2 linked regions of the Xenopus tropicalis genome follow. The protein of the gene in region 2 interacts with the protein of the main gene of each other region in a biochemical or structural test. Links are inferred from orthologs where the notes say so. Each region holds a gene or a part of one and is shown on either strand. Other genes may lie near its edges.

Evidence for each region.
Region 1: the proteins of pias2 (region 2) and sumo3 form a complex in vitro, tested with the Homo sapiens proteins (2 studies listed by BioGRID, with this or other methods). The link is inferred for Xenopus tropicalis from reciprocal best matches to the Homo sapiens genes PIAS2 and SUMO3.

Annotation. Positions count from the first base shown.
Region 1 is NC_030685.2:55,089,552-55,093,827, forward strand, and holds the start of sumo3 (small ubiquitin-related modifier 3), read left to right. Parts: upstream 1-1,425; 5' UTR 1,426-1,447; coding exon 1,448-1,468; intron 1,469-4,276. UniProt on the Homo sapiens protein: Ubiquitin-like protein which can be covalently attached to target lysines either as a monomer or as a lysine-linked polymer. Does not seem to be involved in protein degradation and may function as an antagonist of ubiquitin in the degradation process.
Region 2 is NC_030677.2:206,564,538-206,568,623, reverse strand, and holds the start of pias2 (E3 SUMO-protein ligase PIAS2), read right to left. Parts: upstream 2,915-4,086; 5' UTR 2,831-2,914; coding exon 2,807-2,830; intron 1-2,806. UniProt on the Homo sapiens protein: Functions as an E3-type small ubiquitin-like modifier (SUMO) ligase, stabilizing the interaction between UBE2I and the substrate, and as a SUMO-tethering factor.

The DNA of each region.
Region 1 (4,276 bases), on a different chromosome or scaffold from region 2:
GCTCCAACCTGGCCCAAGGAAAGTCTCCCATAGGGCTCAATGGCACTCTGCAGCTCCAACCTGGCCCAAGGAAAGTCTCCCATTGGGCTCAATGGCACTCTGCAGCTCCAACCCGGCCCAAGGAAAGTCTCCCATAGGGCTCAATGGCACTCTGCAGCTCCAACCTGGCCCAAGGAAAGTCTCCCATAGGGCTCAATGGCACTCTGCAGCTCCAACCCGGCCCAAGGGAAGTCTCCCATAGGGCTCAATGGCACTCTGCAGCTCCAACCTGGCCCAAGGAAAGCCTCCCATAGGGCTCAATGGCACTCTGCAGCTCCAACCTGGCCCAAGGAAAGTCACGATACTGAAGCTGATGAATCCGAAACATTCATACTTGTTGCGACAAATACGATTTTGTTGTGCAAATTGTCAAAGTATGAAAAAGTTGTGCATATTAATAAAAAAGTCGCAAAAAAACGCACAGTAAGAAAACTTAGAAAAAATATGAATTATTTGTATTCGGAAACAATTGTACTTTGATAAATGTGCCCCATAGTGTTGATGGGGCCACTTTATCTACCTGTATGTTCTTATTATTAGAGGAAAGTGGAGTATCTGGAGAAAACCCACTGAGAGAAGTTACAAACTGAGCAAGATGACTGGAATCAAACCTAGGACTAGGGTTTTCACATTTACTGGATTTAAAATACTTCCCATACTTTTATCTTTGAGCCCTACTGATAACATTGGAATCAAGCATAATTTTCATGAGTCAGCTGTCAACCCTACATAGGTTTCCAGCGGCATTTGGATCACTAATACACTAAACTTGCAATGTTGCATTACCATGTGAAAATGTGCACCCTGAACGCTTGGCTACTGTCTTTATTGACATGAAAGTTGCACCAAGTGGTGCATGCAGTCATCTCTTTGCTATAATGACCCAATGATAACACTTCTGGCACTGCATGCAATTGTGAGAGGAAATGCTGCTCCACACAGTCCCGCAGTTCCAGTCACAGAGCTTCATTCTGTCCATGTTCTGGGAGAGTCACGTGTTTCACACCCAGGAGCCTGGGCTGAAGGTTACACGTTATACAGCGCACAAGCGCTTATTTATTGAAGGGGTGGGAAACTAATTGCAATACTATGTCCCCTTTCTCTGCATCTTCCTTCTTGTTACATTGCGCTCAGCTTCCCTCCCTTCCCCCACACTAGTGTCTGAGCGCGCTCCCGTCACCAACTCACCGCGTTAATGGAATAGTTGGAACTGGGCGGGGTTGCGCGTAGGGGGATGGGAACCATGGTCGCGCGCATCGTGAACGCGCATTAAGGTCACGTGACCCCCCTTTCGCCTATCGCACCGCGTTATAATGTTGGGGGTGAAGCGCGCCCCCGCGAATAAGCGTTAGAGAGGAAAAAACCTTCACAGACAGAAAAAGAGCGGGAGAGCTAGAAAAGGGCAATCATGTCTGAAGAGAAACCCAAGGTAAGCGAGATAGCGGCTTTTCCCTATCGGGGCTAGGGCGGAACGAGCAAGGAAAGGGTCAGTCGGGCCCTACGCGCAGAGGCCGGGCTGTGGGCACGGACATCAGGCAGAGACATTGGAGCCGGGCTGGTGTAAGCGTGCTGGCCTCTCCGGGGATGCCTGCTGCCTGGGCTCACTTAATAACGCCTCTCAAGAGTACGATTGCTTCTTGTTTTAGAAATACAGTACGTGGGCCTGTCGCTTTGGCTTGTGGTACCGACCCAAAGGGCAGGCCCGGTGCGTTATACCGTCATGTTGGTGTGACTGACACGGTGCTCCGTCCGGCGCTGAGCTGCCGCCATGTTGGGCCGAGCTGCGAGTTGGTTGCAAATCCCATGGCCCAGGGGACACACGTGTTACAGTGCGGCTCCATTTCCTCATGTCTCCCCGTGTGTCTCTGTACTGCCCACAGACATTAGCGTTCCCATTATTCCCCTTGGCACCAACCTCACCATATTGTGTGTCCCATTGCTCGGGGGGAGGGAACCTGACAATTGTGTTTCTGCAACTTCCGAAGCCTTGCATTGGGCTGCTAGTGACATACCCTACACAAGTCATATGGGGAAAGCACCAGGATACACCTATACCGATGGAAATACTACCTAATAATACCTTAATAGCATTGTGCGTGCTGCCAGCTAGGTTCATTTGATAAAAACCGCCTTAAAGGAGACCTCATGCGAAATAGAATGTAGCAGCACATTATACTCCTCCCCCAAACCCACTAGCCCCGCCCATCTGTTCCACTTCCTACTGCCTCCTTTCCCAGGCTGTGCAGGGGGGCCTGTAGCACACAGCACTGTAGGGTAGGAACCAATCAGCAGCTAGACTGACCTGATAGGGAACTGAAGCCTGTTGCTTGTGTGAGTGCAGGACTGTGATTGGCTCTCCCCTCTCCTGCTGTGCTTCTGGCGGGGTCCTTTAGGACACTCCCACCCCTCATTTGAAACACAGACAAGGACCTTGGAGGATTTATAGGGAGCACCATTTTTTACAGACAGTATTATGTTTTAGCTCAAAGTAAATCCAGCCCCATATATAATTCATAATTGCCTACAAGATTAGAAGTGTTTTCCTTTATCCAATATGTCTCCTTTAAAATATTCAGTTTGGTATTGCCTTAAAGGAGACATATCCTATAAAAATTAAGAATGTACCAGTGAATTATACTCCTCTAGATATAGAAGGATTGTGCTTAAAAAGTTGTGTTTCAGACTGATTTATTGAGAAATTCCACAAAACCCCACTAGCCCCGCCCATCTGTTCCACTTCCTGCTGGCTGAATTCTCTGGATGAGCTGGGGAGCCGGCGGCCCTCAGTACCCTGCACTGTAGGATAGGAACCAATCAGCAGCTAGGCTGACCTGATAGGGAATTGAAGCCTGTCTTTGCTTGTGTGAGTGCAGGGCTGTGATTGGCTATCCCCCTCCTACTGTGCTTCTGGCAGGGACCGTTAGGACACGCCCACTCTTCATTTCACACACCGACAGAGAAGCAATGGGATCTATAGGGAGCTCCAATAAAGGGGCCATTGTTACAGATAGGATTCATATTTAGCACAAAGGGAAACCAGCACTGTATATTATTCATAATTGCCTACAGGGTTAGGGTTTTCCCATTTATCTAATGTCTCCTTTAACTGTAATCCAGAGTCTCATCTAGAGCTCTTACTTTACATTTTATATCATGTTATTGGAAGCCAGCAGTATTCACACTAGCGACCGACTGGTGGTCCTGACCACTTTGCAGATCGCCACAGTACAATATGGGGTCAAGTAATATGGGCAGACCTGGCAGCTACTAACTGTTCTACTCAGCTCTGTGCTTTTGGAGCTGGTACAGGGAATACAAGTAAGGTGCTGTTGGGGGGGCAGATATCACGGGCAGATAAAATTTTCCATTCCAGACTTGAGAGCTGAAACATTTAAGTGACCCAGAGGCTTAATGGCTGAAGTCAGGCTGTTTTTGTCTCTATGGGTAGTCTATTAAGTCTTTGTAGGAGCAGTGCTGGCGTTGTCACTGTATATACTGCAGTACAAAATGTTCATCTTGGAGTGGTCATGATCAGATACTTACATAGACCTTGATAGATATCCCTGTCTCCTTCCCTGCCCTGCCTGTGTGTGTACGTGCCATATAGCTGTGCTATCCATTTCTTTCACATATGGGTTATGGGTGATATTGCTTCAGTAAACAGTGTGTTTGCCTGCGGTGCCAGTAGGTTTCATTTAGGCCCAGTTGGGTTGGGCACTTGATGGGGGGTACTTTCATTTGTTGTGGGTGAATTAACGCAAACCAGGCAAACTAAAATAGCTTAAGCATGTTCTGCCTCTAATTTTATGTAGTAATTAATATGTATTAGGCAGAGCTGGGAAGGACTTGTAGACCATGTGATTGCTTGTAAGGGCCAGTAATTGTATTGTGGAGCATAGCAGAAGCCACTGTAGGGAATGGCACAGTGGCATGGCAAGGATAAGTGTTTAGAACATGCATGAGCCCAGCAGCTGCTTTTTATTATGGAATAAAGTGGTGACAGTCTCTGGAGGGGATGGCAGTAGTCAATATATGCCCTGATATTTTTTGTTTATGTATATCAGAGGGCTATTAGTTGCTCTGCAAGCATGTGCGGAACCTTGTGTAACACTTTGGGGCACATTCATCAAAGTCCGAATACAAAAAATTAGTATTTTTTTTAAGTTTTAGAACTGTGCGTATTTTTTGCGATTTTTCGTTAATTTACGCAACATTTTTGTACAACTTGCGCGACAAA
Region 2 (4,086 bases):
GTCACAGTGTAACTGTGCCATTCCCACCCTTGGCTCTCCTCTTGGCTCTATTACCCAGCATGCCTCACTGTCACAGTGTAACTGTGCCATTCCCACCCTTGGCTCTCCTCATAGCTATATTACCCAGCATGCCTCACTGTCACAGTGTAACTGTGCCATTCCCACCCTTGGCTCTCCTCTTGGCTATATTACCCAGCATGCCTCACTGTCATAGTGTAACTGCGCCATTCCCACCCTTGGCTCTCCTCTTGGCTATATTACCCAGCATGCCTCACTGTCACAGTGTAACTGTGCCATTCCCACCCTTGGCTCTCCTCTTGGCTATATTACCCAGCATGCCTCACTGTCACAGTGTAACTGTGCCATTCCCACCCTTGGCTTTCTCTTGGCTATATTACCCAGCATGCCTCACTGTCACAGTGTAACTGTGCCATTCCCACCCTTGGCTCTCCTCTTGGCTCTATTACCCAGCATGCCTCACTGTCACAGTGTAACTGTGCCATTCCCACCCTTGGCTCTCCTCTTGGCTATATTACCCAGCATGCCTCACTGTCACAGTGTAACTGTGCCATTCCCACCCTTGGCTCTCCTCTTGGCTCTATTACCCAGCATGCCTCACTGTCACAGTGTAACTGTGCCATTCCCACCCTTGGCTCTCCTCTTGGCTATATTACCCAGCATGCCTCACTGTCACAGTGTAACTGTGCCATTCCCACCCTTGGCTCTCCTCTTGGCTCTATTACCCAGCATGCCTCACTGTCACAGTGTAACTGCGCCATTCCCACCCTTGGCTCTCCTCTTGGCTATATTACCCAGCATGCCTCACTGTCACAGTGTAACTGTGCCATTCCCACCCTTGGCTTTCTCTTGGCTATATTACCCAGCATGCCTCACTGTCACAGTGTAACTGCGCCATTCCCACCCTTGGCTTTCTCTTGGCTATATTACCCAGCATGCCTCACTGTCACAGTGTAACTGTGCCATTCCCACCCTTGGCTCTCCTCTTGGCTATATTACCCAGCATGCCTCACTGTCACAGTGTAACTGTGCCATTCCCACCCTTGGCTTTCTCTTGGCTATATTACCCAGCATGCCTCACTGTCACAGTGTAACTGCGCCATTCCCACCCTTGGCTTTCTCTTGGCTATATTACCCAGCATGCCTCACTGTCACAGTGTAACTGTGCCATTCCCACCCTTGGCTTTCTCTTGGCTATATTACCCAGCATGCCTCACTGTCACAGTGTAACTGTGCCATTCCCACCCTTGGCTTTCTCTTGGCTATATTACCCAGCATGCCTCACTGTCACAGTGTAACTGTGCCATTCCCACCCTTGGCTCTCCTCTTGGCTCTATTACCCAGCATGCCTCACTGTCACAGTGTAACTGTGCCATTCCCACCCTTGGCTCTCCTCTTGGCTATATTACCCAGCATGCCTCACTGTCACAGTGTAACTGTGCCATTCCCACCCTTGGCTCTCCTCTTGGCTCTATTACCCAGCATGCCTCACTGTCACAGTGTAACTGTGCCATTCCCACCCTTGGCTCTCCTCTTGGCTATATTACCCAGCATGCCTCACTGTCACAGTGTAACTGTGCCATTCCCACCCTTGGCTCTCCTCTTGGCTATATTACCCAGCATGCCTCACTGTCACAGTGTAACTGCGCCATTCCCACCCTTGGCTCTCCTCTTGGCTATATTACCCAGCATGCCTCACTGTCACAGTGTAACTGCGCCATTCCCACCCTTGGCTCTCCTCTTGGCTATATTACCCAGCATGCCTCACTGTCACAGTGTAACTGTGCCATTCCCACCCTTGGCTTTCTCTTGGCTATATTACCCAGCATGCCTCACTGTCACAGTGTAACTGTGCCATTCCCACCCTTGGCTTTCTCTTGGCTATATTACCCAGCATGCCTCACTGTCATAGTGTAACTGCGCCATTCCCACCCTTGGCTCTCCTCTTGGCTATATTACCCAGCATGCCTCACTGTCACAGTGTAACTGTGCCATTCCCACCCTTGGCTCTCCTCTTGGCTCTATTACCCAGCATGCCTCACTGTCACAGTGTAACTGTGCCATTCCCACCCTTGGCTCTCCTCTTGGCTCTATTACCCAGCATGCCTCACTGTCACAGTGTAACTGTGCCATTCCCACCCTTGGCTCTCCTCTTGGCTATATTACCCAGCATGCCTCACTGTCACAGTGTAACTGCGCCATTCCCACCCTTGGCTCTCCTCTTGGCTATATTACCCAGCATGCCTCACTGTCACAGTGTAACTGCGCCATTCCCACCCTTGGCTCTCCTCTTGGCTATATTACCCAGCATGCCTCACTGTCACAGTGTAACTGTGCCATTCCCACCCTTGGCTTTCTCTTGGCTATATTACCCAGCATGCCTCACTGTCACAGTGTAACTGTGCCATTCCCACCCTTGGCTTTCTCTTGGCTATATTACCCAGCATGCCTCACTGTCATAGTGTAACTGCGCCATTCCCACCCTTGGCTCTCCTCTTGGCTATATTACCCAGCATGCCTCACTGTCACAGTGTAACTGTGCCATTCCCACCCTTGGCTCTCCTCTTGGCTCTATTACCCAGCATGCCTCAGTGCATGTCTATATGCTAGAGGCTGGGAGACAGTGTGCCAAGCCCATGCCAAGGCTCAGTGCCCAGGGAGGGGACACACATGATGCATAATGGCAGCACTCATTTAGTCTGTGCCAGCTACAGTCCCTGTTTATCCCCTTCCCTCTGCCTCCTCTCACACTGACAGCCACCTGCCCCCCCCCCCTTGCTCTCCTCACCCGCAGCTCCTCGGTGTCCGCCATCTTCTCCAGGCACCATCCTGCGGCCAGCGGGCTAGAGTGGGGGAAGGGAACGGGAGAGGTGGGGGGATGGTCAGTTTATGGGAGGAGCCATCGGGGGCGCGCAAAGCGTGTGCAGGAGATCTCTGAGGGAAAACGGGGAAGCGCGGGAATGAGGGTCCGTCCATGTGCGGGGGCTGCTCATGAATGGGTTATGGAGGCACAGAGGGATAGATACAGAGACTGTTACATAGTTGTCAGATAGATACAGGCATGAATAGGTAACAGGTGACTGATAAATCCACACAGATAATATGTGTCACCACACACTGATATGTGTCACCACACACTGATATGTGTCACTACACACAGATTATAGTTTGGTTGCCACCCCTGATGGAAATATCCTATTCTCCCCCCTCCCCTGAATTTGTATAAACCTCCCCGCCCCCACAATAGTGACATAAATAAAGGGGTGAAGGTTCATCTCCACTGTGAGGTTCCACCAGATAAGGTCTGCTTCCATGTGGCCAGAAATTCCAGCGTCCCATAAATCCCAAAGTAATACTAGGCTGAAAGCAGGAATGGGGGCCAAGGCCCTGGTGATATGGTGGGGTTGCACCGGTGCCCAAATACTCTTAGTTCTGCCACTGGGTCTAAAGCTGGCCATACGCGCACCAGTATTATCATACGAAACCTCGTTTCATACGCTATTCGGTGCGTGTATGGCGGCTCGAAGAGGCGGCCGATATCACAGAAGGCTGCGGATATCGGTCGATTGCCCAGGTTCAAGCAAAATCTACATTCAGGGCTGAATTGCCAGGTGGAGGTAGAATTTCTATTGTTTCTGGGAACGATCTTTAAAGATCGGAATTGCTACGTGTATGGCCACAGTAGTAACATCAAAAAATGTAAGTGTTTTAAAGTAATTTAATGTGCTGTTGCTCTGCAAAAAACTGGTGTTTTTTGCTACACAAAAGCTACTATATAAATAAGCTGCTGTGTAGCCATGGGGGCAGCCATTCAAGCTGGAAAAAAGGAGAAAAGGCACAGGTTACATAGCAGATAACTAGTAGATAAGCCCCATATAATGTGGGTTTATCTGTTATCTGCTAAGTAACCTGTGCCTTTTCTCCTTTGAATGGCTGCCCCCATGGCTACACAGCAGATTACTTATATAAACTATAGTAGTCTTTCTGAGGCAAACACACCAGTTGTAGCAATGCAGGGCAACAGTACATTATATTGTAATTACTTTTATACACTTTCATTTTTTGGTG